Ovis aries: one gene and its partner. The protein of the gene in region 1 interacts with the protein of each later gene in a pairwise test. Links are inferred from orthologs where the notes say so. Each region holds a gene or a part of one and is shown on either strand. Other genes may lie near its edges.

Region 1 (15,047 bases):
TTGGAGCACAAGACTCCCCGGGCCCGGAAGGGAGACTGGAGTCATAGCAAGCATAGCTGAGCAGTACAGAAGGCAGGCAGGCGTGGCCGGCAGGGGCAAGGCATGGCCAGTCCCAGCTCTGCTGCTGGATCCATCAGCCTTTGCGTTGCTTAGGCCTAGCCAGGGTTCACCGGCAGACACGTGGCTCCACGTAGAACCCAGACACCCCTGAGTTAAACTCCAGCTCTGCCACTAGGACCTCTGGCAAATGATTTAAGCTCTCCAGGAGACGGGTTCCTCATCTGTGCGATGAGGATCGTTGCATTTGCTAGCATCCACTTGATGTGGCCCATTTCCTCGCTGCCCAGGGGATGTTCATTCCCCTCCCTGCCCCTAGCCCCCTTCCCAGCTGCTCCTGTGCCACCTTCTGTTCCGTGGGCGTCCTTTCTGCCATCTGTCATTCTCAGCCACCTTTGTGCTTCTTGAGCTCATCTCTGGCAGCCAGTAACCCCTTCTTCCCTCTAGTCCACCTCACAGGTCATCTCTGAGTCAGGATTATCCCCCTCCTATGGCTTAATTGTGGTCCATACCTATCCCCCCCTCACTTCATCTCCTGCTTGAAGGAAGGGGGAGGCGGGAGGAGAGGGACTGGGGTGTGGCGATGGCCAAGGAGTCTGGGGAGGGGGCGAGTCTCTGACGGTGTGGCCAGGGGGACATGGGGGTCTGCATGTGGGTGTGTCCTGTCCTGTACCACCCGGCCCTCCCGTCACCCTCTCTACCCCACCCTCCCAGCCTGCAATGTGACTATCCACAACCGCTGTAAAGACACCCTCGCCAACTGTACCAAGGTCAAGCAGAAGGTGAGATGGCAGGGAGGGCAGAGGGCTGGGGGAGAGGGTAGTGAGTGTGTGGTACCCTCGTGCCTATTCCGTTCATTCCTCACCGTGTGTTCCCCAACCCCTCTCCTCTCCACGGGGCAGCCCGACCCTCCACCCTAGGCCTCAGGCCCCGCCAGAGGGGGCCAGCCTGTTTCTCTGGACACATCCCCTTGGCACTGGGCTCAGCCACCCTGATGCCCTTAGCGATCAAGCCAGCTTTCTCCCGAGGGGGCCAGCCACCCAGCTCCTGTCCTGGGCCCACGGAGGTGACCCTTGGGTGACAGCTGTTCTTGGTGTCTCTCTTGCCCTCTGTCTCACAGCAACAGAAAGCTGCCCTGCTGAAGAACAACACTGCCTTGCAGTCCGTTTCTCTTCGCAGTAAGAGTGAGTAGTGAGGGTGCAGGAGCCGCCACAGGACCCTGGCCCACCAGGCCTCTCGGCCCATGGGCTCTGCTGCCCCCTTGAGGTCGTTCCCTGGCACGGCACCTTCCTCCCTTCATCTGGAAGCTGATGGCGGCGGCACAAGGGAGATGGAGACCCCTGGGCCTGGGGGCGGGACAGCAGAATTAAAATGAGGTTGAAGGCTTGGAATGACTGGTCATCTGAGCCTGCTCACACTTTATATTAGTATGATCAGTTATTTACATGGCCCTTGGGGATGTTGGCAGAAGTTGTTAAGGGCCAATTCAGAAAGATCTGGTGTGACAGAAAGAGCGGGGTGCTTAGTCAGGAAAACTAGAGTCTGAGTCTGTGCTCAGCCACCAGCTGAGTCACCCCAGCCAAATCTCTTCACCATCCTGAGCTGCAGTTTGCTTGTAGGCTTGTGGCCGGGAAGAGATAAGAAAAGCTCTTTGTAACCATTAAAAGTATTGCACAAGTTTATGGGTAGCATTATTATCATCTTTCTCTGACTAGAACTGGGCTAAAGGTGGGGTTGGAGAGGAGGCTTCCTTTCTAGTCCAGGAGCCTGGGAGGCTTGAGTCCCGGGAAGGCACCAGGTTTGAGGCTTGCTTGTTTGGTATCCCCTCCGACAGCTACCACTCGGGAGCGGCCCAGCTCGGCCATCTACCCCTCCGACATCCGGCAGTCCCTGCTCGGCTCCCGCCGTGGCCGCTCCTCCTTGTCTTTAGCCAAAAGCGTCTCCACCACCAATATTGCTGGGTGAGCCTCTGCTTGGGGACGGTAGAACCAGGCAGGCAGAGTGAGGCTGTGGAGACAGGCCGGGGGGAGGGGCTGAGAGGTCCTCCCCATCCCTGAGTTCAGAATGATAGACAGGTAAGGAGAACTTGGAGTGACTGCCTCTGGGATGCCGCCTTTGTTCCCCAACCTGGGAAGGGATCTCTCGCCCGAGTCAGTCGGATGATGCAGCCAGGCTCCACTCCCCTCAGACACTTCAATGATGAGTCTCCCCTGGGGCTGCGCCGGATCCTCTCACAGTCCACGGACTCCCTCAACATGCGGAACCGGACACTGTCGGTGGAGTCCCTCATCGACGAAGGTGACCGTGCCCGGACCTGGGGGAGACCCAGGCGTGAGGGGCGGGCGGGAGCTGGCCCGAGAAAGGCAGGGTGGGAAGGGATCCAGAGAAGGGCCCAGGACCCAGGGAAGAGATTTGGGGTCCGAGTCGTTTCCCCCACTCGCGTCCAGGTGCTGAAGTGATCTACAATGAGCTGATGAGTGACTTTGAGATGGATGAGAAGGATTTTGCAGCTGATTCCTGGAGCCTTGCGGTGGATAGCAGCTTCTTGCAGCAGCATAAAAAGGAGGTGATGAAGCAGCAGGATGTCATCTATGGTGAGCCGGGAAGACCACCCCGGACTTCTCTTTTGTTATTGGCCTTGTTTCTCTGTGTCCTTCCTCTGCCAGCCCCTACCTCTCAAGACACTTTCCTCTTATCCCATTGGCCTTCAAGACCCTGCCAGTGATCCCATAAGTAGCTACGAGGTCCACAGCTTTTGGAGCTGTTGACCTCCAAGGCCCTTCGTAATCCCTTCCTTCCAGTCAACTCTTAGTCTTTCCTCTCTGCCCATTGCATGCCCAGCTCTGTGCTGGGGACTGTGGGAAGTCTAGGCATGTAAGGAACACATAGTTTTTGACTTTATACCTTGAGATGGCAAGAGTGAGCCCCTCTTAGCCCCTTCCCCTGCCTGTCTCCACAGCCTCATTCTGCCTTGAGATGGCAAGGCATAAAGATAAATGATTAGAAAAATGATCTAAGATCATAACGCAGAATATTAGCCTGGAAGGGAAACTGAAAACCTCTAATAAGCCTGAGGTCTCCAGCCTTGGCCCCACCAGTTGTGGCCAAGCCGGGTGTTCCACCGTCCCCACAGAGCTGATCCAGACAGAGCTGCACCACGTGCGGACACTGAAGATCATGACCCGCCTCTTCCGCACGGGCATGCTGGAAGAGCTGCAGCTGGAGCCAGGAGTGGTCCAGGGCCTGTTCCCCTGTGTGGACGAGCTCACTGACATCCACACGCGCTTCCTCAGCCAGCTGCTGGATCGCCGGCGCCATGCCCTATGCCCTGGTAGCACCCGGAACTTCGTCATCCATCGCTTGGGGGACCTGCTCATCAGCCAGGTGAGAAAAGCCAGGAGCCCTGGGCAGCAGTCTTGGGCGGGGGTGTGACTAGAGTGGGCATTTCTCATCTCCAGACTCTGGGGGGTGGGGCAGAGAGAGTTGGAAAGGCAGGAAGCCAGCCTGTTTGGCAGGAGGCGAGAGGGCATTGGGGATGAGAGGTGACTTTGGGGGACATGCTGACCCAGCCTTGCTCCCCCAACTTCTAGTTCTCAGGTCCTAGCGCAGAGCAGATGCGGAAGACCTACTCAGAGTTCTGTAGCCGCCACACCAAGGCCTTAAAACTCTATAAGGAGCTGTATGCCCGAGACAAACGCTTCCAGCAGTTCATCCGGGTGAGCAAACCTCTCCAAGACCCACCCTCCGCCTCCTGTAGTGCCCCAGCCCTAGTGGACACAGCTGCTCGTTTTTCCAGGGGTAGAGCGAGTGCTCTCGCTCCTTGGGTCCTCACAGTAAACCTGTGACCTTGTCGGCCCCATTTTCCAGAGTCATTAACCTCCCGCCAGCCAGCATGAGGTAAATGACCAAGTGCAGGCAGGCACCAGGGCTTAGGCTCCAAGTCCAGCGTCCTTTCTGGTGCCCTCCCCGCGGGTGCCCCTCTGGCACTGAGCCCTGACCTCGCTTTGTAGAAAGTGACCCGCTCGGCGGTGCTGAAGCGGCATGGGGTACAAGAGTGCATTCTGCTAGTGACTCAGCGCATCACCAAGTACCCAGTGCTCATCAACCGCATCCTGCAGCATTCCCACGGTGAGAGGGCGAGTCCAGGCGGGAGGAGGAGGGAGAGGGCTGTCAGGGGTGAGGCGTGGCCCTGGACAACCACCGGGAGGAAGAGGGTCACATATGGAACCCTGGGCAGCCTCTGAAGGCGGCATTGAGATCAGTGGGTTGGGGACTGGCGTGAAGCTGGCTGGGCCACCCCTTCCTCACGCCGACCTCGGTGTCAGGGATGGAGGAGGAGCGCCAGGACCTGACCACGGCCCTGGGGCTGGTGAAGGAGCTGCTGTCCAACGTGGACCAGGATGTGCACGAGCTGGAGAAAGGGGCCCGCCTGCAGGAGATCTACAACCGCATGGACCCTCGGGCCCAGGCCCCGGTTCCCGGCAAGGGCCCCTTTGGCCGAGAGGAGCTCCTGCGGCGCAAGCTCATTCACGATGGCTGCCTGCTCTGGAAGACTGCGACTGGGCGCTTCAAAGGTCAGTGGACAGCTTGGCAGACCAGGCAAGAGTCCATGGCCAGAGGGAGAAGCCTCCAAGCCCATAGGACCTCTTTTAATGTAGCCCTGGTGAGACCCAGTGGGAGGAAAATATGTGAGCTCTGTTGTAACAAAAGTCAGAATTCTGGATTTAATTTCATGGGCGATACAAGGACTTCGTTGTCAGGATTTGTTCATTCCTTTGGTCCTTGCATGCCCAGAAAGCTACCGATTTTGATGAGAAAAACAGAGAAATTCCAGGATTAGAGGACTAGCCCCTGGTAATTGGTTCTACCAGCTGGAGTCCCAGCCACTAGGGCTGGGGAATGGGCAGGCACTTTGGGAACACAGCTGAGGAAGGCCCTTGGAGGGGGTGGAGCCCAGGGAAGGGCGGGCCAAGTGGAGAAGAGAAAAGACTGCAGGGAAGGTGTGTTCAGGGCGGGGCGCACTGTCCCAGCCTCTCTTCCCAGACTATACTGGGCAAGGCTTGCCTACCTAAATCAAAGCAGAAGAGTCGCAGACCTCAGCTTTAGGTGTGAGGAATGCTACCTGAGGCCAGAGCTTGCCTGCACCTCTGTCCCGTGTCGTGAAGTCCCCACTCCATAGGCTTGAGTATTGCAGGCTTTGCCAGCCACTTTCCTCCATCCCTTTCTCTCCTTCCCATCCCTCCCACGCAGCAGCTAAGAATATAAACCATGGGGGGGTTAAAAATAGCAAGGCTGAAGAGCTTTATTTCTGAAGCCTTTAGCAGAAGCCCTCCCCTTCTGTGTGCCCACAACTTAGAAAGATCTCCAAGGGCAGAGGATGCATGTGTTTTCCTGACTGTGACATCTGACTTTCATGGGTTGACCTTTGTCTCCCCCAAGTCTTAAAGCACAGGACCCCGTAGAATGTGAGGGCCTTGAAGGTGGGGCAGAAAAGGAAAATGAAAGCAGGGCCTGCTGTTGTTGAAGGAGATTGGGATTGTTCAACAGTGGGAGAAATGAATAAGGAACCTAACTGTTCCCCTCCCCATGGAGCACAAAATAAGAAGTGGGGAATATGCTGGCATGGGGGGAATCTTAGACCAAATATCCAAAAAGATCTTATGTCAGTTGTTCAACATGGAACTGAAAGGCTCTGGGAGTCGTTTTACCCTCACAAGAATTCTGGACCCTTTCACACAGAAAAACACACGTGTGATAGATTAATATGTAAAAATTGCTTATGGAACTTTAGAGGATCTACAGAGCCTCTGAAGCGTGATAGCAGACAACCTAGGTGTCGGCAGACCACAGGCTAAGGAGCATTCATTGGATAAAGAGGCTTTTATTCAAGGCCACTGGGTGATTGCTTATAGGCATCTCTAGCCCAAGAAACTGTTTTGTCTGATGACACATGTGTCCCCCCCGCCCCCCACCGTTTCTGAGCTGTAGGAATGGGGAGAGGTGGGAGGTCTGCGAAGGGGGAGGAAACAACCAGAGGGAGAGAGGTCGGGGAAAGGGAAACAGCTGCTCGCATCCTCTAACGCTGACTCTCCTCCTGCCTCCATCCCCCTGCCAGATGTGCTCATGCTGCTGATGACAGATGTGCTGGTGTTTCTCCAAGAGAAGGACCAGAAGTACATCTTTCCTGCCCTGGTGAGACCTTCCACCTTCTTTCTCAGCATAGACAAGTGTTTCAGACCCTTCTTACTTTCCTACCCTGGCCAGGAAATCCTCCAACATCAAATAGCTATTATTGTAACCACTGCCGTAATATAATCAGGAAAAATAAGAAGAGCCAATGCATATAAATATGATCAGAAGGAATAAGAAGAGCCAACGCATATTGTTACTATATGCAGCCACTTTTTTTTACACGTGTTAGGAAGGCACATGATTATCCTCTTTTTGTAGATGAGAAAAGTAAAGCTTAAAGTTAATTAAATTGTCAAAGGTCACAGACGTTTCTCTAAGTCCACTCTGGCTGGCACCAGAGTCTGAGCTCTTAACTTATATTCTCGGCTGACTCTTCAATCCTTTGGATACTCCAGGAGGACTGAAGACTCAAATATCCAGGGGTCAGGATTCCCAGCTTTAATCCTTCCTGTGCCCCAATTGGCAGGACAAGCCCTCGGTGGTGTCACTGCAGAATCTCATCGTGCGGGACATCGCTAACCAGGAGAAAGGGATGTTTCTGATCAGTGCGGCACCCCCTGAGATGTACGAGGTCCACACGGCATCCCGGGATGACCGGAGCACCTGGATCCGCGTCATTCAGCAGAGTGTGCGAGTGTGAGTGTGTGCATGGACTTGTGGTTCCTGCAGTTTGGGGCGTTGGACCACAGCACTCCCAGGGAACAGAACCCAGGGTTCAGAAGTGGAAGGAGAGGCCAGGAGAGAGACAAGATGGCCCAAGGCAGGCAAGGTCATTTATGTTCTCTTGCCCGGTAAAGTTGCATTTTATACAGTGACAACCCCAACCGCCTTCTGAATGCACCATGAGCTGACAAGCCAAAGGAATACTTTAAGTTGGCACGTGCCGGCATGCCTGCCAGTCAGCAGTACAGTTTCACCTCCATTAACATCTTAGTCTGTAGGCAGTGGGCCATTATTTGGACTGTATTGTCTTTCACCTTCATTTTCTAAAAATGAATGAAAAAGAGAATAATGAAAAAAAAAAGAAAAAAAGGATAATGAAAGCATTGATACTAGTGATCAGAGGGGCAAGACTGAAACAAACTCCATACGATAGAGGCTACAAAGAAATCATTTTGTGTGCTAAAGCAGCAAATCTCTGGCTTCTGTTGGACACACATCAGATCTGAGTATGTGTCTGTTGTGATCAAAGAAAGTAAAGGGGCTTCCTTGGTGGCTCAGACGAAGAGCTGCCTTCAATGCAGACAAAAAGTCAAGTGCATGTAAAATGTCGAAAATGGATTCTCAGGCTTCCCTGGCAGCTCAGTGATCAAGAATCCTCCCGCCAGTGCAGGAGACACAGGTTCAATCCCTGATCCGGGAAGATCCCACATGCCTCGCAGCAGCTGACCCCATACCCCACAACTACTGAGCCTGTGCTCTAGAGCCTGGGAACTGCAGCTGCTGAGCCCACGGGCTGCAGCTACTGAAGCCTGAGCGCCCTAGGGCCCATCCTCCACAGCAGCAAGAGCCACCACGGTGAGGAGCCTGTACACCGTGACTAGCAAATAGCACCCACTTGCCGCACCTAGAGAAAAAGCCTGTGCAGCCGCTAAGACCCAGCACAGCCAAAAATAAATAAATAAAACTTTAAAAAAGAAAAGAAAGTACATTCTCAAGGATAATGCCTGAAAAATAAACTCAATTAGGATGTTTATGATTTTTTTGTTTATACTTTTCAGGGAATGGATTCTTCTCTACTTTATAATATATAAAACTATATATATTTTCTCACTTCTGCAATTTAGACTTTTGAACAAATTTTTCAGAAATTTGTGCAAAAATATGAAATTACCTGTTCTGGGAAAACAAGACCAAAGTTCCTATCCCATTGACAGTCGATCTATAGCGGCCTCTTTATTAATAATGTAAATATTTGTAGTCGTGAAACCATTATTCATGATAATTGTTTTATTGAGCTTATGCCACGTTCAAAGCACTCGTATATTATTTCATTTAATCCTCATACAAAAAAAACAAACTGTGAGGAAGATATCATCCCTGTTTCTCATATGAAGAAATAGAGAGGTTACCGCCTGGTAAACTGCAGAGCCAGAATCTGAGCCCAGTGTGCTTGACACCAAAACCTGCAGTTGTCCTTCCGCACTACGCTGCCTCTCTGGGTGACTTGCGGAGAGGCACTGGCAAGTAGATGCAGATCGTCAGTGCCAGGAAAAGGATGAAGCCAGGGCGCGGAGCTGACAAGACTTATCGGGGAAGTATAGAGCATGTTTGGGAAGGAGGGAAGGCAGATTCCTGGTGTGTAACCTAGCTTCCTTCCCCGAACCCCACCCAACCTGTGATCCCTCCAGATGCCCATCCAGGGAGGACTTCCCCCTGATTGAGACAGAGGATGAGGCTTACCTCCGGCGTATCAAGAGTAAGTCCAGGGGAGTTTGGGGGAGAATGGATGCATGCATATGTATGGCTGAGTCCCTTAGCTGTCTATCTGAAACTATCACAGAACTGTTAATCGGCTAAATTCCAATACCAAATAAAAAGTTTAATAAAAAAAATTACATGACGTTTTCAAAAAACAAAAAGAAAACAGTAAGTCTACCCACAGAGCTTGTTTAAATAATTTATCAGTATGATATATGCACACAGGGGAATACTATCTTAAAATGAGGTAGCTGTATGAGGGCTGATGTAGACCCACAACCAAAACATTTAGTTAAGTGAGAAGAGCAAGGTTTAAAACACTGTGAAGTATATGCTGTCACCAGCATTGGGGATAGATATGTGCCATGCATTTTGTGTATATGTGTGGAGTGTCTCTAGGAGGATATTATTACTGTGGTTTCTCTGGGAAGGGAAACTAGGAATAACAGGATTAAGATACTGACTTTTTTTTTTTACCATAGATCTGTATGTTAATTGGGGGTGTGATCTAACTGCTATACAAAAAAATCAACAAAAACCATTTGGTCACATGAGGTAGATTATTTCTCTCCACTTAACAGTCCAGAAGCGAGAAGTGCAGGGTGGTAGCGCAGCTGTGCCCTCTTTGTCATGAAGGTTCCCCGTCTCTGTGGCTGCATCACTCCTCCAGCTTCCGCTCTCACATCTGCATCCCAGCTAGCAAGGAGGGTTCGAGGACGAGGAGAGTTTATACTCGTTTCTTTTAAGGCCAGATCAGGAAGACATTCCCATCCACTGGTCAGAATTTAGTCCTGTGGCAATGCCTAACTGCAAGGCAGGTTGGGAAATGGCGTGTAACTGGGCAGCCACACGCCCAGAGGAAACTTGTACTCCTTCTGTAATCAAAACACGGGGAGATGAAAGCTGGTGGACAGCCTGCAGGCCCTGCTACACGCTTTCGTTTTGAAGACAACACTGCATGTGTTACTCATTCCCCCCCCCAAAAAAGTTCTCTTCTTTTGCATAAATGCCAAAAAAAAACCCAAAATGCAGTCCTCCCTCCCTGCCCATACCTGGCTCCTCATCCCTGGGGCTGCCCCTCCACTCCCAGTGGCTCTTCCGGGTGCTCACCTGTCTCTCATCCACAGTGGAGCTGCAGCAGAAAGACCGGGCCCTGGTGGAGCTGCTGCAGGAGAAGGTTGGGCTATTTGCCGAGATGACCCACTTCCAGGTGGAAGAGGATGGCGGCAGCGGGGTGCCCCTGCCCACCCTGCCCAGGGGCCTCTTCCGCTCTGAGTCCCTTGAGTCCCCTCGTGGCGAGCGGCTACTGCAGGACGCCATCCGTGAGGGTGAGGGAGCTTCTGGGGAAGAATCTGGACTCACCTCTTCGCCATCACACAATAGGGACACGTGGCTAGACAAGGGGAATGTCCATCCCATAGTCCGGAACTCCCCCAAGTGCCTGTTGGGTGCTGGATGCCAGGAATGGCGGGGGAAGATGGCCCTTGCTACTGTTTGCCACCTCTCATCCTGCACACCCCTGGGCACTTTAATGATCTTTTCCTCGTATGTGGTGTTGGCACTGAGACCCCATTACCTGTGCAGGGGGCATTTCCCTAGATGCCTGCATGTCCTGTGAACTGAGTGAACAGCAGCCCCTCCCACCCCCTGCAGAATTCCATCCCTTCTGTCCTCACCTCTTCTTTCCACACAGTGGAGGGCCTGAAAGACCTGCTGGTGGGGCCTGGAGTGGAGCTGCTCTTGACACCCCGGGAACCGTCCTTGCCCGTGGAGCCAGATAGCGGTGGTAACACAAGTCCTGGAGTCACTGCCAGTGAGTGCCCGGGTAGGGGACCACGGCAGGTGGGAGGAGTTAAAGAGAATGAGGTGGTACCAAGGTCTGAGTGGTGTCAGGGTGCTGGGGCAGCGAGGCCGGTGCGTCATCTTCCCCTTCTCAACAGATGGTGAGGCCAGAACCTTCAATGGATCTATTGAGCTCTGCAGAGCTGACTCAGACTCCAGCCAGAAGGTGGGTTTCAGGAGGTGTCAGGACTTAGCTAGAGGGTGGGAAATGGACTGCTGGCCTATAGACCCTTGACACAGAGCTATCAGGGACAGGCACCAGGGACTCGTGTGTCTGCTGATGCCCCATCCTTACCCGTTTCTGCAGGATCGAAATGGAAATCAGCTGAGATCTCCCCAGGAGGTGAGATGGGCTTGCAATGGTATGGGAGACTGAAAGAGGGGTTACTCTCAGCTGAGAAACTGGAGCCCAGTTTGGAGTTGGGGGTGCTGTATATACCTCAGAATACCTGCAGTCTTATTGTCCCCACACCCACACTTATTCAACTTCTGGTCAGTTCTCCCATCCTGAAGCTTGGACTCTGTTCCCCCCACCTCCTCTGTCCTCAGGAAGCGTTGCAGCGATTGATCAATCTCTATGGACTCCTGCATGGCCTACAGGTCAGTGAGGGTAGGGGCTCCAATGAGAATGGGAGGGACTGGGCCAGAGCTGTCCACTTAGCTAGAGCAGAACCATCCTAACAGGCCTGTCTAAACCTTCCTCTGATTCAAGCTCTATGGGACTCAAAATCTGGGCCCTGGGGAGTGAGGGATAGAAGAAATGGGATTCTGATACATCCCTTCATCTCCATTCTACCCGCAGGCGGCTGTGGCCCAGCAGGACACTTTGATGGAAGCCCGGTTCCCTGAGGGCCCCGAGCGGCGGGAAAAGCTGACCAGAGCCAATTCCCGGGATGGGGAGGCTGGCAGAGCCGGGGGCGTCCCTGTGGCTCCTGAAAAGCAGGCTACGGAACTAGCGTTGCTGCAGCGGCAACACGCGCTATTGCAGGAGGAGCTGCGGCGCTGCCGACGGCTCGGCGAGGAGCGTGCGACTGAGGCCGGCAGCTTGGAAGCCCGGCTCCGGGAGAGCGAGCAGGCCCGCGCCCTGCTGGAGCGGGAGGCCGAGGAGGCTCGCAGGCAGCTGGCCGCCTTGGGCCACACGGAACCCCCACTCGTGGCTGAGGCCCCCTGGGCCCGCCGGCCTCTGGATCCGCGGCGTCGGAGCCTCCCTGCTGGTGATGCCCTGTACTTGAGTTTCACACCCCCACAGGTAAGGACGCTTGAAGTAGTGAACTAACCTGGGGTGGACATCAGGGTCCAGGAGAGAATCTGAGGAACTGGAGGCCAAATGAAATCAGGCATTAAACTTGAAGGATATTAGGATACTGGCGGGAGGGCTGAACAATTTCGATGGGTGCAGAAAGAAATCAGTCAGTGGTAGATGTACTGAGAGTCAAGTCTTCACACTGCTCATTCCTGGACCTCTTGCTTTTTCCGCCTGCTGTCCATAGCCCAGCAGAGGCCACGACCGCCTGGATTTGCCTGTGACTATTCGCTCCGTCCATCGACCCTTTGAGGATCGAGAGAGGCAGGAGCTGGGCAGCCCCGACGAGCGGCTGCAAGATAGCAGTGACCCCGACACCGGCAGCGAGGAGGAGGGAGGCAGCCGTCTGTCTCCACCCCATAGTCCAAGAGGTGAGGTCCTGGCAGAGACACGGCGTAGAAACAGGGTGTAACCTGGGTACAGACCTTTGGGCTGTAGTTTCCAAGTGGAGCCTGCATTGGAAAGCACAGGAATGTTTAACCAACCACTGAGCTCCACAGTCACTCTTGGGACGGGCCTAGAGTGCTTCCTGGTTTGCCTCCTGGTAAACAGGTAGTGGATCTCTCAGAAGCAGAAAATGTAGGGGCCTCTGCTCCAGTAGGTCCATGATTCCAAACCTTTTCAAGCAGAAATAGATTTTCAGAGTGAAAAAATGTCAAAGACCTCCAAGTTCTTATAGCTGGCTCAGGAAATACAAAATAACCCGAAGCTACTGTGACTTCATATAATACTCATCTTAAAATATTTTGTATCTTATTAACCGTATTGTATCTCCATGTATTTAACAAGCTACCTAGGTATGGATCCATTATTTTGTGGACAGTTTTCCCATCACCCGGGGATTACAGACCTCTGCCATCCCTCCCTGGAGAATCCCAGGGATGGCGGAGCCTGGTGGGCTGCTGTCTATGGGGTCACACAGAGTCAGACACGACTAAAGTGACTTAGCAGCAGCAGCAGCAGCAGCAGCAGCCATCCCTCGCAGCTCTCTGAGCTGCTCAGCCCACAGACAGGGAGGCATCCGTGTAGGGGTTCGGCTGATCACAGGAGCCTCTGTTCACTCACTGACTTTGCCCCTTCCTCCTCCAGATTTCACCCGAATGCAGGACATCCCGGAAGAGACTGAGAGCCGAGATGGGGAGCCTTTAGCTTCCGAGAGCTAAGGGGGCCCCTCCCCCCGCCCGGTGTCCCCTGAAGAACATTACTGAGGGAGGCAAACCTTGGGGACTCCAATCTGCCAATGACAAGGGAACATTTGAAAGAACTGCTTACTGTCCTTGCCATCTCTTGGTATCCTTGGATACCTGGGGGCCATTTAGGAAGCGGGGGGAATTAAGCCACAGTGCCCCCTGCTGGCATCCAGAAGCTACACTGCAGATGCCAATTTTTCATGCCTTCTTCCGTCTACTTTAGGAAAATTTATTTATTTATTGTTTATTAGTTACAGAGGGAGAGGGGAGATTTAGAGGACCAGGGACATGGGAACCAAGCCATAGGGAACAGGGGGCCTTGTCCTTTAACACTACTGGGGTTTATTCAGGCTTAACCATGCAGCTGCTGGGTTCTAGCCCTGACACCCCTCCTGAGCAACACCCATCTTTGAGGAGAGGCTGCAGCCGTAAGCCCCTACTGCTCCTTCAGGAAGGGCTGTGGTCAGGGCCATGTCCCTCTCCCCTTCCCCTCCACCTCTTACTGCTGTTCCCCCTTCTCTCTGTCTTCTGTGGAAACCCCAGGAACTTAACCTGGCTTCCTAGAGTTGATGGAATGGAGGTTGAGGTGGCCATAATGGTTTGTTGGGGGATGAGGAGGAAAACTCACAGGGACCAGAATGGTTTTTTGTTGTTGTTGTTTTCTTTTTTTTGTACCAAAGCCAACTGCACGTGTTTTATATTTTTAAGAGAAGATTGTAGGCAATTAGAAATTGCAGCCTTCTATCTCTAAATCTCTGAAGAACTTGAGGGATGGGGGGAGCGTTGACTTCTCCACTCATCCATAGTAATGGGGGCCCCATTCTGACCTCTTCCCCAGTCATTTGGACAAACAGTTCTAGGGTGAGTTGGGAAATCTCTCCAAGCCCTGACCTCACCCCCACCTCAGCAACCATGACCTGAAACCTCAGTGTGAATTTGGGGGATTTTTCAGTGGATCCCCCCTTGCTCAGTGGCCACCAGCCCCGGCCAGTTTTCTGCCAATTTGATTATTTTAAAAAAAGGAAAAAAATAGAAAGTCGGGGGTGGGGGGATAAAGCAGGGAAAATTAAAGTCCTGGAACCCCAGGAAGTGCTGTCTGTTAATATCCACGAGTTCTGAGGATGCTGGTGATGAGGACAGCCAGGGAGGGCCCTGTGTTCATCTGAAAGGAGCCTCTTCCTCTCCCAGGAGGGGCGACTGCCTCCCTGAAGACACAGGGCACTAACAGAAGAAACTGGTGCCAACCTGTTTTTGTTGTCGTCTGTGATACTCACAAATACAAGGATAAAAATGAAGGGGCACTTAGGTTCCAGTGGCTGTTGGGGGGATTCCAATATTAAAAAACCTGTTTCCATCTCACTGGCATGCCGTGCTCAGAATTACATCAGCCTCTTGCCCCCTTCCCTCCCTTTCTGCACAGCTGCAGTTCCCCTTCACATCTCCCCTCAGATTCAGCCCTCACTCTGCCCTTGTTCTTCGCAGTGTCAGAATCCTGGGGTAACCTCTTTAAGACAGTTCCCCTCTCCCCTCATGGGAGCTGCTCATTTGCTCTTTGCATTTGGAGAGGCAGTGAGAGATTAGGTAGGTTTCGGTTCTTATTTTTGGTTAATTTTTTGCTTCCTGTTTCTGGTTAATAGCCTGCTCTGGGGCTGTGGGGGAGGGAGGCTAAGAGCGGCCAGTGTTGTCTAAATGCTGGCAGAGCACATAGACTTCTGTTGGAGCCCATGGAGCAAGATGAGAAGAATGGGGCTTGCAACCTCAGCTGGAAAGAGGAATTGAAACCACATGGGGTGTGGGCAGGCTTGGGGGAGCAGCCAGCACCCTCCACTCCTGTAATTCTCATCTATTGGCATCTGGCCTTGACGAGGTGCTTTCTCATCTGTCACAGAGTCTGTGAGGTAACAATTGTTCTCATTTTATAGACAAGAAAACCTGGCCCCAGAGGGTTGCCAGGCCAGCAGAGCAGCCAAGGAAGGGCCAGTCCTAGCTGCAGTCCCCCACTTCCCCTTCTCGGTTGCTCTGCAGAGACACACCGGAGCGCC
Region 2 (15,494 bases), on another chromosome or scaffold:
AAATGGTGGGGAGTGAGGAGCTAGGCTCTGAACAGGGAGTGCTACTGGTGTCTTTGAAAAATCTTGATGAGCTCTAAGCAGAAAGAATGGCAACATCAAAGGCTCAGAAGCAGAAAAATCTCATGACAAGTGGGAAGAGTAGGGAGTTAGTGTGGCCAGAGCCCCAGGTCGAAGGGGACCGAGTCAAAGACGGACTGTGCCGCGGAAGTAAGAAGAAAAAAGGCAGAGTAAGGAAAATCAGAGGTGCTTGACTGCAGTTTTAAATGGAGTGATCAAAACAGGCCTCACTGAGGTGACATTTGAGCAAAGCCTTAAAGAGGCAGGGAGATACCCATGCAGGTATCTGGCAGGGCATTCCAAACAATGGGAACAGCCAGTTCCCTGACTGTTGGAGAACTCAGAGGGGAGTGAAGCAGGGAGACCAACAAGGAGACTGTTGTAAGACAACGATGGGCACGAATCACCAGAGTCTGTGGGAATGGAGAAACCTAGCAAGCAAAATTGCCAGGACTTGGCGCCTGCTTGCATTTGGGAGGTGTATAGCTCCTGCAGTCATATTGTTCTGAAGTCCCCACTTCAAGGGTACTCACTGTGCATGCCATCTCTAAGGCAGGTAGTGAGAATGCTCAGCACATTCTATCCTGGATGCTCCTGCCTCCTCAACATACCCATGATTGCCCTCCCCAGCCTCTTAAATTCCTCAACCTCACCTTCCGTAACTTTCCCTCTGGACCACCAGGTATCTACTTTCATGCCCACTATCAAGTCCTGCCAGTTCCTAAAACTCTCAAACTCACTGATTTCATTTCATCCTTTGGCTACTATGAAGTGTTGAATTGCATCCCTCCATAAATATGTTGGAGTCCTAACCCTTAGTACCTCGCAATGTGACCTTATTTGAATCTTTACAGAGGTAAGTTAAAATGAGGCCATTGGGATGAGCCCTAGTCAAATATGACTGGTGTCCTTATGAAACGGAGAAATTTGGAGACAGAAACAGATACAAAGGAAGACGGATGTGAAGACGAATGACTGGAGTAAAGCAGCCAAAAGCCAAGACCAAAGACTGCTGGCACACCGGAAGCTAGGAAGCATTAAGGAAGGATTCCCAGGCAGGTTTCAGAGGGAAATGGCTCTGACACCTTGATTTGGGGCTTCTAGTCTCCAAAACTGTGAGACAGAACAGTTCTGTTGTTCTAAGCCACCCAGTTGGTGGTCCTTTGTTATGGGTGCCCTAGAAACTGGTACCACTATGATGAAACTGAAAGTAAAAGTGAAGTCGCTCAGTTGTGTCCAACTCTTTTCAACCCTGTGGTCTGTAGTCTACCAGGCTCCTCCGTCCATGGGAATTCTCCAGGAAAGAATACTGGAGGGGGTTGCCATTTCCTTCTCCAGGGATCTTCCTGACCCAGGTATCGAGCCTGGGTCTCCTGCATTGCAGGCAGATGCTTTACCCTCTGAGCCACCAGGGAAGCATACAATACTCTGTCCCACTTCTCTCACGTACTCTACCTCACTCCACCCCATTTTTATAAGGACCTCTAGGCCACTGACCCCTGCCCCTTTCTAGCTTCACTTCTTTCCCGACCTAGGTTGGATTCCTTGGACCTTCTTCACATACACTCTCTTGCCAGTCTCACTATTCCTGCTTCCCCTGAGTCTTACTTGACCTGTGGGTGCTGCTGGAGTGCACTCTGACTGATGATATTGTAAGTTCATGATCACCAACCTCATCTGGGCTTCTAGCTCTGCCTGGTCATCCTCCTATACCTCACTAGCTGTCTTCCCCAGCTGAAACAACTCTCTACCAGCCTCCTTACTCCACTCTCAGCAGCAAAGCTGGACTTCTGCTTTGAGATTAGAAGCCTCTGAACTCTGAATTCCGTGTCTCACCTTTACCTCTATACCCACCTGCATGCATAGCCATCCTCAACTCTGTCCCTCCTGCTACAGGCAGACATCTCTCCTCTGCCCTTTGTGAGGCCCGTGCCTCCCCGCTCTAAGACCCACTCCCTTTCATCGCCCCCAGGAGTGTCATTCTGAGTTAGCCACAATCTCCTGCATCTCCATGCCTTTCCCTACTGGCTTCCCCCATCAGCCTATAAACTAGTCTCTGCTAATTTATTAAAAATAAACAAAACTCTCTGTATCCCAGAATCATCTCTCTCCTCCTATCACAATAGTTTGTTGAAAAAGCTATCTCCATTTCCCTACCTTTTGTGCCAAGGTATTACCTTTTCTAAGAGATTATGGAGGAAGACACTTGGAGCTGGTGATGGACAGGGAGGCCTGGCATGCTGCAATTCATGGGGTCGCAAAGAGTCAGACACGACTGAGTGACTGAAGGAGAAAGTGAGCAGCAATTAAATTCGCAAATGTACATAGTACTTATGCTCCCTCCCTCCTAAGCTTGGTCAGGCTTTCTGATTCTGAATGCCTCACTCTGGCTCCCTCCCTGACATTCCTCTGGTAGGACTCACTTGGGCCCCCAAAGTGGCCAAGGAGGGAAAAGGCCCCAGATTCACTAGCCTTTGCTCTCCCGGCCTGTGTCCTTTCTCCTGATTCTCTGAGTAGTGGCAGATCCTATTCTTCTCAAGGGATTTTGACTGCACCTCAGTTTCCCTCCACATTCCCCCTGCCATCATCAAGACCCCAGGTGGTGCCTTAATGAGGAGCTGCCCAGTGGGGAGTCCCAAAGCCTGTGATGCTGCCTAACTGAATCACTCCCTCAACACAGTCACCACGCTTAGTTCACATGCTCTTTCCACCCTGGCCGCCACACACTGGATCGAGATGGGATGCTGAACCAAAGTTCAATAGTCTGCAAGAAGCCTGGTCCCAAATCTCTGGGGACCAATGATACACAGGGGGCTGTTGATGGTAAAGGACACGCAAGTAAAGATATTCAGAGAAATGGCAATATGCAGAAGCTGAGCAGGAGCAAAAAACATGAATTAGACACAGAGAGTAAGTCAGGCAGTTGCTGGTAGCCAGACAGAGTCAGGACCACAGCCACTAGGACGGTATTAGATGCTTCATGACCTTCTGCAGTTGAGAGGCCCAGCTGGGAAGCAGCAGAGGGTTTTTCTCTCTTACCTAGCATGCCCTGAATCTCCAACCCCTCCACTCCGGGCAAGAAAAAGATGCAGCATTCCAAGTTTTGACCACAGCCTGCTGGTCCTGTGGTCCCCTCATGCCTGTTCTAAGCTCTTATTGAGGCCTCCGGTCCCCCAACTCCATCTCTCCCAATATTTCAACCCCACCTGCCTGGATTCTCAGCCAGACATCACTTCAACACCCTCCAACTGCTGTGCCCACCCTGCTACATGGTCCCAGAAGAGTCCGCACTTTGTGCTTTCCTAGTGATTGGACACCCAAGCTGTGGACACAATGGAGAACATAAAGTCCAGTGGAAGATCCAATTTGCTCAACTCTTCACTGAGTCCACTACTGCCCACGATCCTGCTCTGGTTCCTGTAGCCTCCTGGCTACCACTGCAGTCTTCACCTTTCCTTATGCTCCTGACCTGTCCATGGTGAACCTGAACCTACAGCCAAGGTGAGACAGAAGAGGAACTGCTAGGGGTAAAAAGGGTGAGAACTGAAGGGGGAAGGTAGAATTGAGCTTATGTTTTTAAGGAAAAGGCATGTTTGTAAGCTGACTCCTTCATGAGGGCAATGAACATTTACAGTCATCCCTCAGTATCCTCAGGGAACTGTCTCTAGGAGCCCCTGTGAATTTCTTTTTTCACCAAAATACTCAAGTCCCTTAAATAAAAAGGTGGAGTACAATCAGCTGTTTGTATCCACGCGTTCTACATCCACAGATATGGAGAGCTGAGGGTATACAGGCTCAGGTGATATCTAAGAATCATATGTATATTTCTACATTTAATCCTCATAACAATCCTTCAAGGCAAGCACTACATCTTGTTCTATGGATGATGAGAACACTAAAGCGCAGAGCAGTAACTACCTAATAAGTGGCAGACCCAGGATTCAAATCCAGACAGCTTGGTGACCAAGGCCATGATCTCAACCACTATATTGTAATATAGGCATACTTCACAGAGACATTTGGGTGCAGTCCCAGACCACCTCAATAAAAGGAAGATCTCTATAGTGCAAGTCACAGAAGTTTATTGGTTCCCCAGTGCTTAAAAAAGTTATGTTTACTCTAAGAAGTGAAGTGAAGTCGCTCAGTCGTGTCTGACTCTTTGCGACCCCGTGGACTGTAGCCTACCAGGCTTCTCTGTCCATGGGATTCTCCAGGCAAGAATACTGGAGTGGGTTACCATTTCCTTCTCTAGGGGATCTTCCCGACCCAGGGATTGAACGCGGGTTTCCCACATTGGAGGCAGAGGTTTCAACCTCTAGCCACCAGGGAAGCCCTATATTGTAGTCTATTATGAATGTGACAGAATTATAGCTAAAAAACAATCTACATATATACCTTAATTTTAAAATATTTTATTGCTAAAAAATGCTAACCATCATTTGAGTTTTCACTAAGTTACAGTAGTAACATCATAGATCACTATAACAAATATAATAATTAAAGTTTGAGATATTTTGAGAATTACCAAAATGTGACAGAGACACGAAATGAACACTGTTGGAAAAATGGTGTTGCCAGACTTGTTCAGTGCAGGTCTGCCACAGAACTTCACTTCTTCTGTAAGAAATGTAGTATCTGCGTGCAACAAAATGAGGTATGTCTCTATGCTGCAGGTGGAGAAAAATGCAGAGTCCTTCAACCAGCCCCAAACAGGAAGCAGATAGCTACCCAGGGATCTAGACAGTCAGGTTACTGCTTGAGGCTGCATCTTCAGTCCAGATCCTCCCAGCACCCATCTGAACCTACTTTTCCTGTCTCCAGACTGGGAGCTCCTGGCGGTCAAGGGCAGGGACTCCCACTCCCTTAACCCTACTTCCACACAGCAGGCCAAGCAGAGGTTCATCAGACAGACAGAGCCTTTATTTCCTAACTCACTCCTTGGATCTCTGTCAGAAGACAGATGAGAGGCACTGTATGTAAAAGGCAGAGTAACCCTTCTTCTTTCTCTACATAATATTTTATTTTATTTATGCTGTGGCAAGTTGACCTACACATTGACTTAGGATGTTGCTTCTTAAGCAATCTAGAACCCGGCAGAGACTCCACACCTGTCACTCTTCACGAGAGTCCCTTTCCAGGAGCCAGAGGGAAGGGGAAGCAGGACAGGGAGGCCCACTTTCCTAAACTCAAGTTTTGTTGGAGACCTTGAGCAGTTAGAGGCTTCTCAAAGGTACAGCCATCCTAGACAGTCTAGACAACAGCTTGCCCACAGGTCCTCAGAACCGGGTATCTCGAGCCCTTCTTCTAGGCTGAGGGCCACAGCTGGAGGCAGGTGTGGGCCCGAGGTCAGGGGGTGCCCCAGGGGGCTGGTAGCCATACTCATTGGGGTCCAGGGGGTCTCGACTCAGCAGCACCCACACTGCAGGCACATGGCTGCGGACCGTGAGGGGATCCAGGCCCGTGTCAGGTGAGGTAGGCACCCAGCTGTCCTCGGTCTGCAGGAAGCGCAGCTTGGTAAGCTGGTACAAGCCTGGTACCCGCCGTTTGACAATCTCAGCACAGCTGACAGCCTTGCCTGCAGCGCGGCCAGAGCCTGAGAATACCACGTGGCGAGCGCTGCCGCCCTCCAGCCGCTCCAGCGCCAAGCCCAAGAGGTTGCGGATCTTGCTGCCAGCTCGGACCCGCATCTCCAGGGTATCAGGAGGCAGCTGGGGCATCGGGGAAGGTGCGGGGAGTTCCACAGAGCCAGCTTTCCGGTAGTGCTCCATCCAGCCTGCTGTCGTGTCCGCCTTGCTGCCCTGCTGCAGGGAAGTCAAAGGATGGTGGGCACTGTGTCCCAGGCGACCCCCACCCGAGGGTGCTGCTCCGCCCAGATTTCCCAGAAATGGGACTTTAAACCCCTCATCCCCAGGACAAGGAGTCATGCCTGCCTCCCCCTAGGGGGGCATGTACCCCAGTCCTCTGGACAGGGCCATAACCCTCCACCGACCCTGAACACCGGCCAAGCCTCTCCATCTCTAGCTCCCTGGCACTGGGAATGAACCTTTCTCATCTGGGGCTCCTGGGGACTGGATCCAGGCCCTCACCCGAGACTCCCTAAGCACAAGGCTGAGTGCTCCTCACCCTGGGCTCTCCACGGGGCGCCAGGGCAAAGGCGCCTCACTTCGTGCTCCCAGAGGTCAGGGCCAAGCTCCCCCCTCCCCGCCCCCCACACCCCATGCTCCACCAAACGGAGCCATGAGCCTTCATCCAAAAGCTCCTCAAAGACAGAAACGATCCTCTCCCCAACTCCTGGACCCCGAGGACAGGGTCGGGCACCCCTCTCTCATCCAGAGATTCCAGGGTCGATCCCCTCAACCGAGGGTCCCTCAGACACTGGGAAGCAGAGGCTTGACGCCAACGACTGCTCGGGCCACCCCTGGCGTCGGGGCCACGAGAGGCCGGGCTCCGTGGTGCCCACCGCCACGGGCCACCGCAGAGGCCCAGCACCCGGCCTTCCCTCTCCTCCTCGCACCTCTAGGCGCCCCTGCCCCGCAGGGCTCCGGCTCTCACCGCCGCGGCCGCGCACTCCCTACGCTCGATCTGAAGCCAAGATGGCGCGGGCCGAAAGCGCGCCGAGGTCGCGGGGCCGCGCACGCCGGACGGGGCGGGGCCTGAGGGGCCGGGTTCGCAAACCGAGAGGTTCCGGACGCCAGGGAGTGAGCTGGCCCCGGACGCGAGGATTCGCTGCACGCAGGGTGTCTTTGCTGTTCTGCCCCAGGCAAGGAGCATTCCTTTGCGAGCGGAGAGAGCGCTGCGGGGGAGAGGAGCGGCCAGCAGAGGAGTCCCGCGTCCGAAGTCCGCGTCGGAAGGATGCGGAGGATTTGGCCCTTAGAAGATTCAGGGCAGGCGTTACCCGCTGAGCACACCGCAGTAGCAGAGGCAGAGTGGCGGGTTTCTCTTTGGACCGGAGCTAGAGGTGCCGGGTGATGTGGCCGCTGCGGGGGCGAGAGCCTAGATCACCGAGTTCTGAACTTCAGCCTCACCCTGTGGGCACTGGCGACCCACAGGGGGCTTTCATCAAGGCGCAAGTCAGACTTGTTCGTGTGGGCAGCTCTCGGGCCTCCCTCTGGTGACTCCTGGCCGCACGTCCCAGGGGCATGTCCGCGGTGCTTCGTAAGTTGCCCTGCCTATACGTGCTCGAATATTTGATAAAGCATTTGTTGAAAGAATGAGCCAGAGAAACAACACTGGGAATGGGGAAAAGGAAATTAAGTTGGAAGATACTACGAGGTGGGTTTGGCGACTCTTCGGATGGAGGGAAGAGCCTAGGATGGCTCAGTTTCAGACTTGTTGGATTTGAGATGCCAATGAGACCGCGCCGGTACGGTGGCGGGCAGGTCGACGTAAAGGGGCCTGGAGCCGCAGCAGTCCCGGAGACCACAAGGGGACAGCAAACACTTGGTGGAGTGAGGTGCCATCGGTTTCTTTGCTAATATGCCAACTCTCCCTCCTTTCCAGCCACAGCACCGCCCCGCCCCGCCCCAGCCCAAAAGCCCTCTGCATCCTCTTTTAGGCTCCCCTTCTCTTATAGCATCAGGAGAGCAACATAGAGGCTCCCCTCTCCTTTGCACATGCTGCTCCCTTGGTTCTCAAAGACCCTGCATATCACTCTCCAGAGCTACCTGCCACATCCTTTTCTTCTGTGCCCCCAAAGAACCCTTGTGCCACATGGTTCCCTCCCCTTTTCCATGACTGTTTCCCCTGCTATCCTGTTCAGGGCAGGGATCAGGTGGACCCTACCTGTGACCTCCCCACCTGGTATGGCATCTGACATTTAGAGTGTACTTGGTAAATGTGGGATAAATAGATATAAAACCAAATGTTCCACTCACATCAAGCAAATGAGAGCATTCATCCTGAGAGCTCTATATCTCCCAGAAAGCTAGACTAGGATAAGTATAGCTGGTGGTCCAACTCCTAGGAAGATGGACAACTCTGGCCTCCACCACCCTCATCCCCACCACCATACCCATCCAAGACCAGGAAGCCAACACACTCCTGCAGTGACCTCTACAGTTTTATTGTCACTGGAACAGGATACTGATGAGGGGAGGAGGTGCAAAGAGCAAATCTCAAGTAACCAGACCTCTGACCTCAGAGCCCCACCTGAGTGCAGCCAGGTAGGTCTTGAATCCAATAAATACAGAGCCACCTCTTTTCTGCTCTGTTACAAGGGCAGGCTGGCACAGGTCCTGGAGCCTGGCTGCCCCAGCCCACCTTAGGATGGGAAGCGCCATTCACTCTTCCACAGGCTTCACTTGCTTGGCAGCTTCTAGCTGGCAGAGAAGTTCATCCCACTGCACAAACTGCTTGGAGAGAAGCATTGTCTGGTCACAAGTCAAGGTGAGAATGAGAATCTGAGAGAGGGAGAAGAAAGATGTTTGCCTCTGCCTAAAGGTAGGGGGAGCTGGGAAACAGACAGACTGGTTGGGATGGGTTGAGAGACAGAACTAGGAATGGAATAAAAGGCCAGGCTCCATACAGCACTCCTCAGGGGCCCAGCTGAGCGGAAAGGATACAGTCTTGTTGTATTCCTCCAGGAGCGCCTTGGACTCCTCAGTGATCTCCACACACTGGTCCTGTGGGGCCAAGGTGGGGCAGAGAAAGGCGTTACACAGAGCCCACACTCCCCATTGCCTGCCTCATCAGGGACCCTTGCTCCTCAGAAAAGGTAATGTTTAACCTCAGAGCTAAAAGGAGCAAATTTCTAAAAAGGCACTTTCAGGCTCTGCTATGGGTAGGTAGCCTAACTGCAGTCCTGAGGCTGATGGAAGAGGGAGCGAACCAGACATTTAACGACCTATTCCTACCGGTATATCCCTCCTTCTCCCCTGTACCCTATATCTGAACCCTCTCTGAACTTCACACTAGAGCCTGGCAATAGTGAAAAAACAGCTCCTCTACCTATGGTCAAGGATACATAGGAATTCTTGGGCACCTCCCAACATCAATCCTCTGGTGTCTCAGGACAGCCCTAATCTGGAGGCAGGAGGCCTAGATTTTACCCTAGGCAAGTCTCTTTCCCTCTGGAAGGTGCATGCAAGACAAAGGAGAAACCCTAACTTTCCCCTGAAGCTGACATCAGCTCCTGAGGCTACTTCCCCAGGAGACAGGGGTGGGGAAAAGGAGCCTCGCCACCTCTACTTTCCTACCTGGTCTCTCCCCTCCATACCTGCTGCTGGATGTGGATCTGGGCCAACCGCTGCAGGCGGGCGGCATGCTCAGGAACGGCTGTAAAACGCAACACACACTGCCCAGTGATGCTTGTGCCTTCCCCCGGGACTGCTCAATAGTCTATTAGGTCTTCGGCAGGATTAGAGTATTGAGTGGAGAAGCTAAACAAACGCCAGCTTCATCGACCACTGCAGCTGGAGGTGGTGGTGGTGGGGCTCCCTGCCCACCCCAGTCCTACTCCAGGACCCAAAGGGGAGGGGAAATACAGGCCCCTAGAAGACAAAACCTTGGGGTTTCCAGAAGTGCCCCATATACCCACCCCAGTGTTGTGAGCAGGGCAGGTAAAGAAAGCTTTGATTATTACAGGATCTGTTCCTTTGCTCTCAGCCCAGCGGGACCAGAGCTCCGTGGCCCAGGGAACAGGGAGCCTGCAGGTGGGCTGAGGACAAATGCAAGGTCCCTAAGCTGGTCACCTGGAACCCAACACCCAGAGCCTCAGCCACCATGCAGGGCCCACAGCTTAACGCTGTCAGATGCTCAGCAGGAAACTGATCAGGGGTAGGGAGGGGGAGCTGGGATAAATACCTCCAGAGACAGACAAGATGGATATCTGGATTCAATTAAAGTCACTGCTTGTCAAAATCCCGGCCCAGGGCAGTGCAGCCGGAAGAATTCACACACGTTCACACACCCACCCCCTGCAGGGACTCTTACAGTAAAACCTGGCCTCTGCAACACCCTGAAGGACAGATGCTGAGGGGCGGGGTAGAAAACAGAAGAAATCCTAAAGCGGGAGGCCACTGGGCTTACCTGAGTGTCCTTAGGGCCAAACTGCCTTGAGTTCTGAAGCTGAGCTCTATGCCCTGGCAATTTTAATCCCAGTGCAGGTGGCCAGTACCCCTCAGGTGAGGGTAAAGACAAGGAGCAGAGCCAGTCTGATCCCAGGGAAGTCCTGCCCATCCTACCTCCCCACGTAGAGCAGAGGAGATACAACCCCAGAAGGTACCTTTGATGTGAGTGCTGTCCAGCATGGGCACCAGAGCCTCCACCTGCTCCAGAAGTGCAACCTGCGAGAGAATGAACTGCTCCTCTGCGGCATGAACAGACAGAAAGTAGCAGTGAGGCGGGCCCAGGCACAGCCACTCCTGGGTGAGGAGCTGGGGACCAGGCCAGGGAGAGGACTGAGTCCTGGAGCCAGGGGCAGTCACTCTGCCCACTGCCCCCTTCTTTCTGTGCACACTCCCCCAGTCTGCCTCCACCTCTCCTGGATGCCACTGGTCTGACCTATCTTGAGCCCTATCTCTAAGTGCCTCCAAATCTAACCTTTCTCCAAGTTTTAACTCTGAGGCCTCTCCCCCTAGCCTCCTATCCACAAATTCAGAGAGCCCCTCCTAGGCCACAGGAGACAAAGTACTTCAGACCTGAAGTACCCAAGGGGTCCTGGGAAAGTCTGAAAGAGGGGACTTGTGGAAGATACCTGGCAGGTAGTGCTGAGTGGATCAGAGAGGCACGATTACAAGCTCCTGGAGAACTGGGACAGTAACAGGAGAGTCCAGTGACAAGCTCAGCAGGACTGGGATGGCCCTGTGCATAGGGGGTTTTAATGACTGCAGAGTGGGAAGGGGATTCAAGGGAGGACTGTTATGTCAATCATCTGATGGCAAGAATGCATGTCAATCAGTAGAGGAAAAAGAATTCAATTGGCTGAACTGGAGCAAGGAGAGCACAGCAAACAGCTAGATGGGAGGAGAGATCTGGCAGTCTATACGGAGCTTTGAATGGTAGGCTAAGGAATTAGGAATTCATCCTAGGAGGAAGAGGAAGATATAGACACGCTGAGGTTCCAAAGTAAACACTGTGGCATGCTGGAAATGTGTTTTGGGAAGATGATAGTGAGCCACATGCAAGAAGTGGGAAACTAGGGTCAAGAAGAGGACTTAGGAATAAGCAAAGGAAAAAAAAAAAGAAAGAAAATAAATAAATAAAAAAGAAGAGGACTTAGGAAACTGTTCAAGTGCCAGGGGATGAACACCAAGATAGTGCCACACGGAGGGGTAGAGAGGCTAGACTCAAGAATCGGTGCAGAAGAAGACCTCCTGAACTTGGTGTCTGAGCCACAGCAGTGGTTCAGGGATGTTCTGGCTCACCGCTGTATAATACCTCACACCTAGGATGTCCGGATCTCAGCAGATGAGCACTTGAATGCATGAACAAACACAGGTGATGGCAAATCATACCTAGTGGAGTAGCTAACTGATAAGCAAACATTGCTAAGACAACAGTTACTGCCTAGAACTCTGAAATCCCAGCACTTTCCCACCTGCAAGATGCTGAAACCCATGCTTATATCCTCATCTCTCCCACGGCAATGCTCTCTGCCCCCACCCTTTCCTAGAAGCTCTATGTCTACCGAGCAGAAGTAAGGAAGATTCTGAAGGAAAATCCTAGAGGCATGCCATAGATAGAACACCGGAGTCGCTTCCACAGTGGCTGACACTCTGGTCTGCAGCTGGCTCCAGGGTCTACTGTACCCAGTGTCTACAAGAGGACCACAAGTCCACCTCCAGCCTCAGTCCAGATTCCAGAGAGCAGCTTCCCAGGCTGCATCCAGGAGAGGACTGAGAGGGAGGCCATCTCTGTGCCCAGCGTCCCCCAGATGCATGTGCACATCCTATCCAGCACTACCTGCCAAGATGAACTGCAGCTTGGAGGCATCAGGTAAGGCAATGCGGTCAATGTACTCAGGATCCAGGTATTTGATCAAGTCTTCAACTAGAAAAGCAACAAGATGGAAAATGGAATAAGGTTGAGGAGTGGGGATCAGTCTTGTGAAGGAAGGATATCAGGGCAAGGGTCAGCCTTGGGGAGAGCCTTGAGTGAGGAACTGATACCCAAAGGGTCCACCAGGCCCCCATCCCCACTTCCCTGTCTCTTCCCTCTGATCACCTGCTATTCAGTCACTAAGTCATGTCCGACTCTTTGGACCCTGTGAACTGCAACATGCCAGGCTTCCCTGTCCCTCACTATCTCTGGGAGTTTGCTTAGATTCATGTCCATTGAGTCAGTGATGCTATCTAACCATCTTGCTGGCCAGAGTCAAATTTTACAGCTGGGAACACAATTGCCTCCAATACCCTGGGGCCCTCAGCATTTTCACTGATCTATCTTCAAGGGTAGAAGTTACCTTGCCCCTCTATGCCACCAAGACATGCCAGAACTTTATCTGATTTCTAGTTACTGAACAGGTTGCTAGCTCTGACATAATCAAAAAGGCCTGGCTGAGCCAAGGCTGGGGCTCTCAAGGTGCCTGCTTTCTTTCCTGCCCCTGAACCTTGCCTATGGAAATTCCATACTCCTCTCTCCTTCCCCAGTGGACTTTCAGGCAAAGCTCTTATCTCATAACTTAGGACATTGCCATGGGCTTGGGGTTTAACCACAAAGTAGAAAGCATACCCCAATTCACCATTTCATCAGGAAAACGTCTTCACCTGCTATCCCCAAAGGGAAACTCCAGTGACCTATTGGGCTTAAGGGCCTGGGCAGGGAACCAGGAAGCATAGGCTTGAGGAGGGCAGGCAGGCAGGCATGGAAACACTTACTTTTTTTGTACAGAACCTTCACCCTCTCCCTCTTGCTGGCGATGTTCCCCAAAGCCACCTGCACCTTGACCAGGCCATCAGCCACCTGTAAGGGGAGTGGAAGTTAATTCCAAGATTTACCACTTGGCCCAAGGCTTGGAAGAGATAAAGAATCTTCATTTCCTCAGACTCCAAACTTCCTTGTCCCTACAATCACCCCCTTCTCTTGTATTAAGAGATCCAACTCAACTTTCTGGGAATCCTCAGTATGAAGTGGTAGCTAATCATGTACTCCTCAGGGAGTTTCATGTGTGATTGGGGAAGTAATAAACTACTTTAGGGTTTATGGGGCACTAGCACATACGATCGGAGAAGGCAATGGCATCCCACTCCAGTACTCTTGCCTGGAAAATCCCATGGACGGAAGAGCCTGCAGTTCATGGGGTCACTATGAGTCGGACACGACTGAGTGACTTCACTTCAACCATTATTTAATACCATCCATTTTTATCACTCCAAAAGATGCACCATAGTCATTAACCATCACTGCCCATTCCCCCTCATCCTAGCCCATAGTAAACATTAATCTATTTTCTGTCTCTGTGGATTTGCCTTTTCTGGACATTCATATGAATGGAATGATACAATATGTGGTTTTTTGTGTCTGGCTTCTTTCACTTAGTATAATGCTTTCAAGATTCACCCACCTTGTAGCAGGGTATCAGTACTTCATTTCTTTTTATGGGTGAATAATATTTCTTTCTACAGATATGCCACAGTTAATTAATCCACTCATTTTATAGCCTCTCTTCCTCTGGGCTACACGTCTCTACCACGTCTTTTACAGCCCCCACCCAGTGTTTCCCAACCCCATCATAGGTCACTTAATATAGTAAATGCAGGCCTATATGCCAGTCTGCATGCCCTCTTCTAGTATGAAGTAGTGTTAGTCACTCTGGAGAAGGCGATGGCACCCCACTCCAGTACTCTTGCCTTGAAAATCCCATGGACAGAGGAGCCTGGTAGGCTGCAGTTCATGGGGTTGCGAAGAGTCGGACACAACTGGGCGACTTCCCTTTCACTTTTCACTTTCATGCATTGGAGAAGGAAATGGCAACCTGCTCCAGTGCTCTTGCCTGGAGAATCCCAGGGACGGGGGAGCCTGGTGGGCTGCCGTCTATGGGGTCGCAGAGTCAGACACGACTGAAGTGACTTAGCAGCAGCAGCACATACTATATATTCGCTGATCCCTTCCTCTTGGCTAAATTGATCTAGGCTTTAAGGGTAGAGGGTGAGGAATTCCAGTATTAAAGGGTTGAATAGCGGGAGAGACTATGAAAGTGAATGATCTCACACAGGTTTTAGGTTAGAGGATAAGGAATGCTGATATTCAAGGATCAAATATATGAGGAGGTAAATCAGTTCAGTCGCTCAGTCGTGTCCAACTCTTTGCGACCCCATGAACTGCAGCACTCCAGGCCTCCCTGTCCATCACTAACTCCCAGAGTCCACACAAACCCATGTCCATTGAGTTGGTGACACCATCCAACTATCTCATCCTCTGTCATCTCCTTCTCCTCCTGCCCTCAATCTTTCCCAGCATCAGGGTCTTTTCCAATGAGTCAGCTCTTCGCATCAGATGGCCAAAGTATTGGAGTTTCAGCTTCAACATCAGTCCTTCCAATGAACACCCAGGACTGATCTCCTTTAGGATGGACTGATTGGATCTCCTTACAGTCCAAGGGACTCTCAAGAGTCTTCTCCAACTCCACAGTTCAAAAGCATCAATTCTTCGGTGCTCAGCTTTTTTTATAGTCCAACTCTCACATCCATACATGACTACTGGAAAAACCATAGCCTTGACTAGATGGACCTTTGCTGGCAAAGTAATGTCTCTGCTTTTTAATATGCTGTCTAGGTTGGTCATAACTTTCTTTCCAAGGAGTAAGCATCTTTTAATTTCACGGCTGCAATCACAATCTGCAATGATTTTGGAGCCCAGAAAAATAAAGTCAGCCACTGTTTCCACTATTTCCCCATCTATTTACCATGAAGTGATGGGACCACATGCCATGATCTTCGTTTTCTGAATGTTGAGCTTTAAGCCAACTTTTTCACTCTCCTCTTTCACTTTCATCAAGAGGCTCTTTAGTTCTTCTTCACTTTCTGCCATAAGGGTGGTGTCATCTGCATATCTGAGGTTATTGATATTTCTCCCTGCAATCTTACTGAGTAAAAGCAGCCAGAGAGACAGGAGGCAAATCAGGAGGATTTGCATTATAGATGTCAAAGGGAAAAAATGTTTTGAGAAGTCAGTTCTCAAATGGAACACAATCTGGTGACAACTAATACCACAAGCAGTGTATGCATGTACGTCATTACCTCTGAGGCACTCAACTCCAGGGTATGCCCGATACAGCCACATTCAGTGAAAGGTCTTTCCATAATTAAAAATGGGGATGGACGGGAAGTGAGCTCTCAAAATTCAGTCACTAGAGGGAAGGACTGTCAGTCCATGTCTGAACACTCAGTATTCAATCCTTTCCCCTCCTAATCCTGGCCCTCTCAGACCTCATCCCTAACTCCCTGGACCCTTCCTTATCCATCTCTGGTCTGCCTCTTTTGGGGTCCCATGGACCTCTC

Evidence for each region.
Region 2: the proteins of ARHGEF2 (region 1) and RPP25L interact in binary tests that used the Homo sapiens proteins (3 or more experiments, as listed by UniProt). The two-hybrid records come from large-scale screens. The link is inferred for Ovis aries from reciprocal best matches to the Homo sapiens genes ARHGEF2 and RPP25L.

Annotation. Positions count from the first base shown.
Region 1 is NC_056054.1:105,982,287-105,997,333, reverse strand, and holds the end of ARHGEF2 (rho guanine nucleotide exchange factor 2), read left to right. Parts: intron 1-771; coding exon 772-839; intron 840-1,177; coding exon 1,178-1,241; intron 1,242-1,891; coding exon 1,892-2,018; intron 2,019-2,128; coding exon of another isoform or gene 2,129-2,245; coding exon 2,246-2,355; intron 2,356-2,504; coding exon 2,505-2,651; intron 2,652-3,190; coding exon 3,191-3,441; intron 3,442-3,647; coding exon 3,648-3,773; intron 3,774-4,067; coding exon 4,068-4,185; intron 4,186-4,382; coding exon 4,383-4,631; intron 4,632-6,172; coding exon 6,173-6,249; intron 6,250-6,715; coding exon 6,716-6,885; intron 6,886-8,600; coding exon 8,601-8,668; intron 8,669-9,797; coding exon 9,798-9,998; intron 9,999-10,363; coding exon 10,364-10,483; intron 10,484-10,610; coding exon 10,611-10,678; intron 10,679-10,819; coding exon 10,820-10,855; intron 10,856-11,061; coding exon 11,062-11,112; intron 11,113-11,314; coding exon 11,315-11,761; intron 11,762-12,002; coding exon 12,003-12,186; intron 12,187-12,904; and 3 more. UniProt on the Homo sapiens protein: Activates Rho-GTPases by promoting the exchange of GDP for GTP.
Region 2 is NC_056055.1:36,946,476-36,961,969, reverse strand, and holds RPP25L (ribonuclease P protein subunit p25-like protein), read right to left. Parts: upstream 6,653-15,494; 5' UTR 6,610-6,652; exon of another isoform or gene 6,572-6,609; intron 5,859-6,571; exon of another isoform or gene 5,856-5,858; 5' UTR 5,826-5,855; coding exon 5,334-5,825; 3' UTR 4,454-5,333; downstream 1-4,453. UniProt on the Homo sapiens protein: May be a component of ribonuclease P or MRP.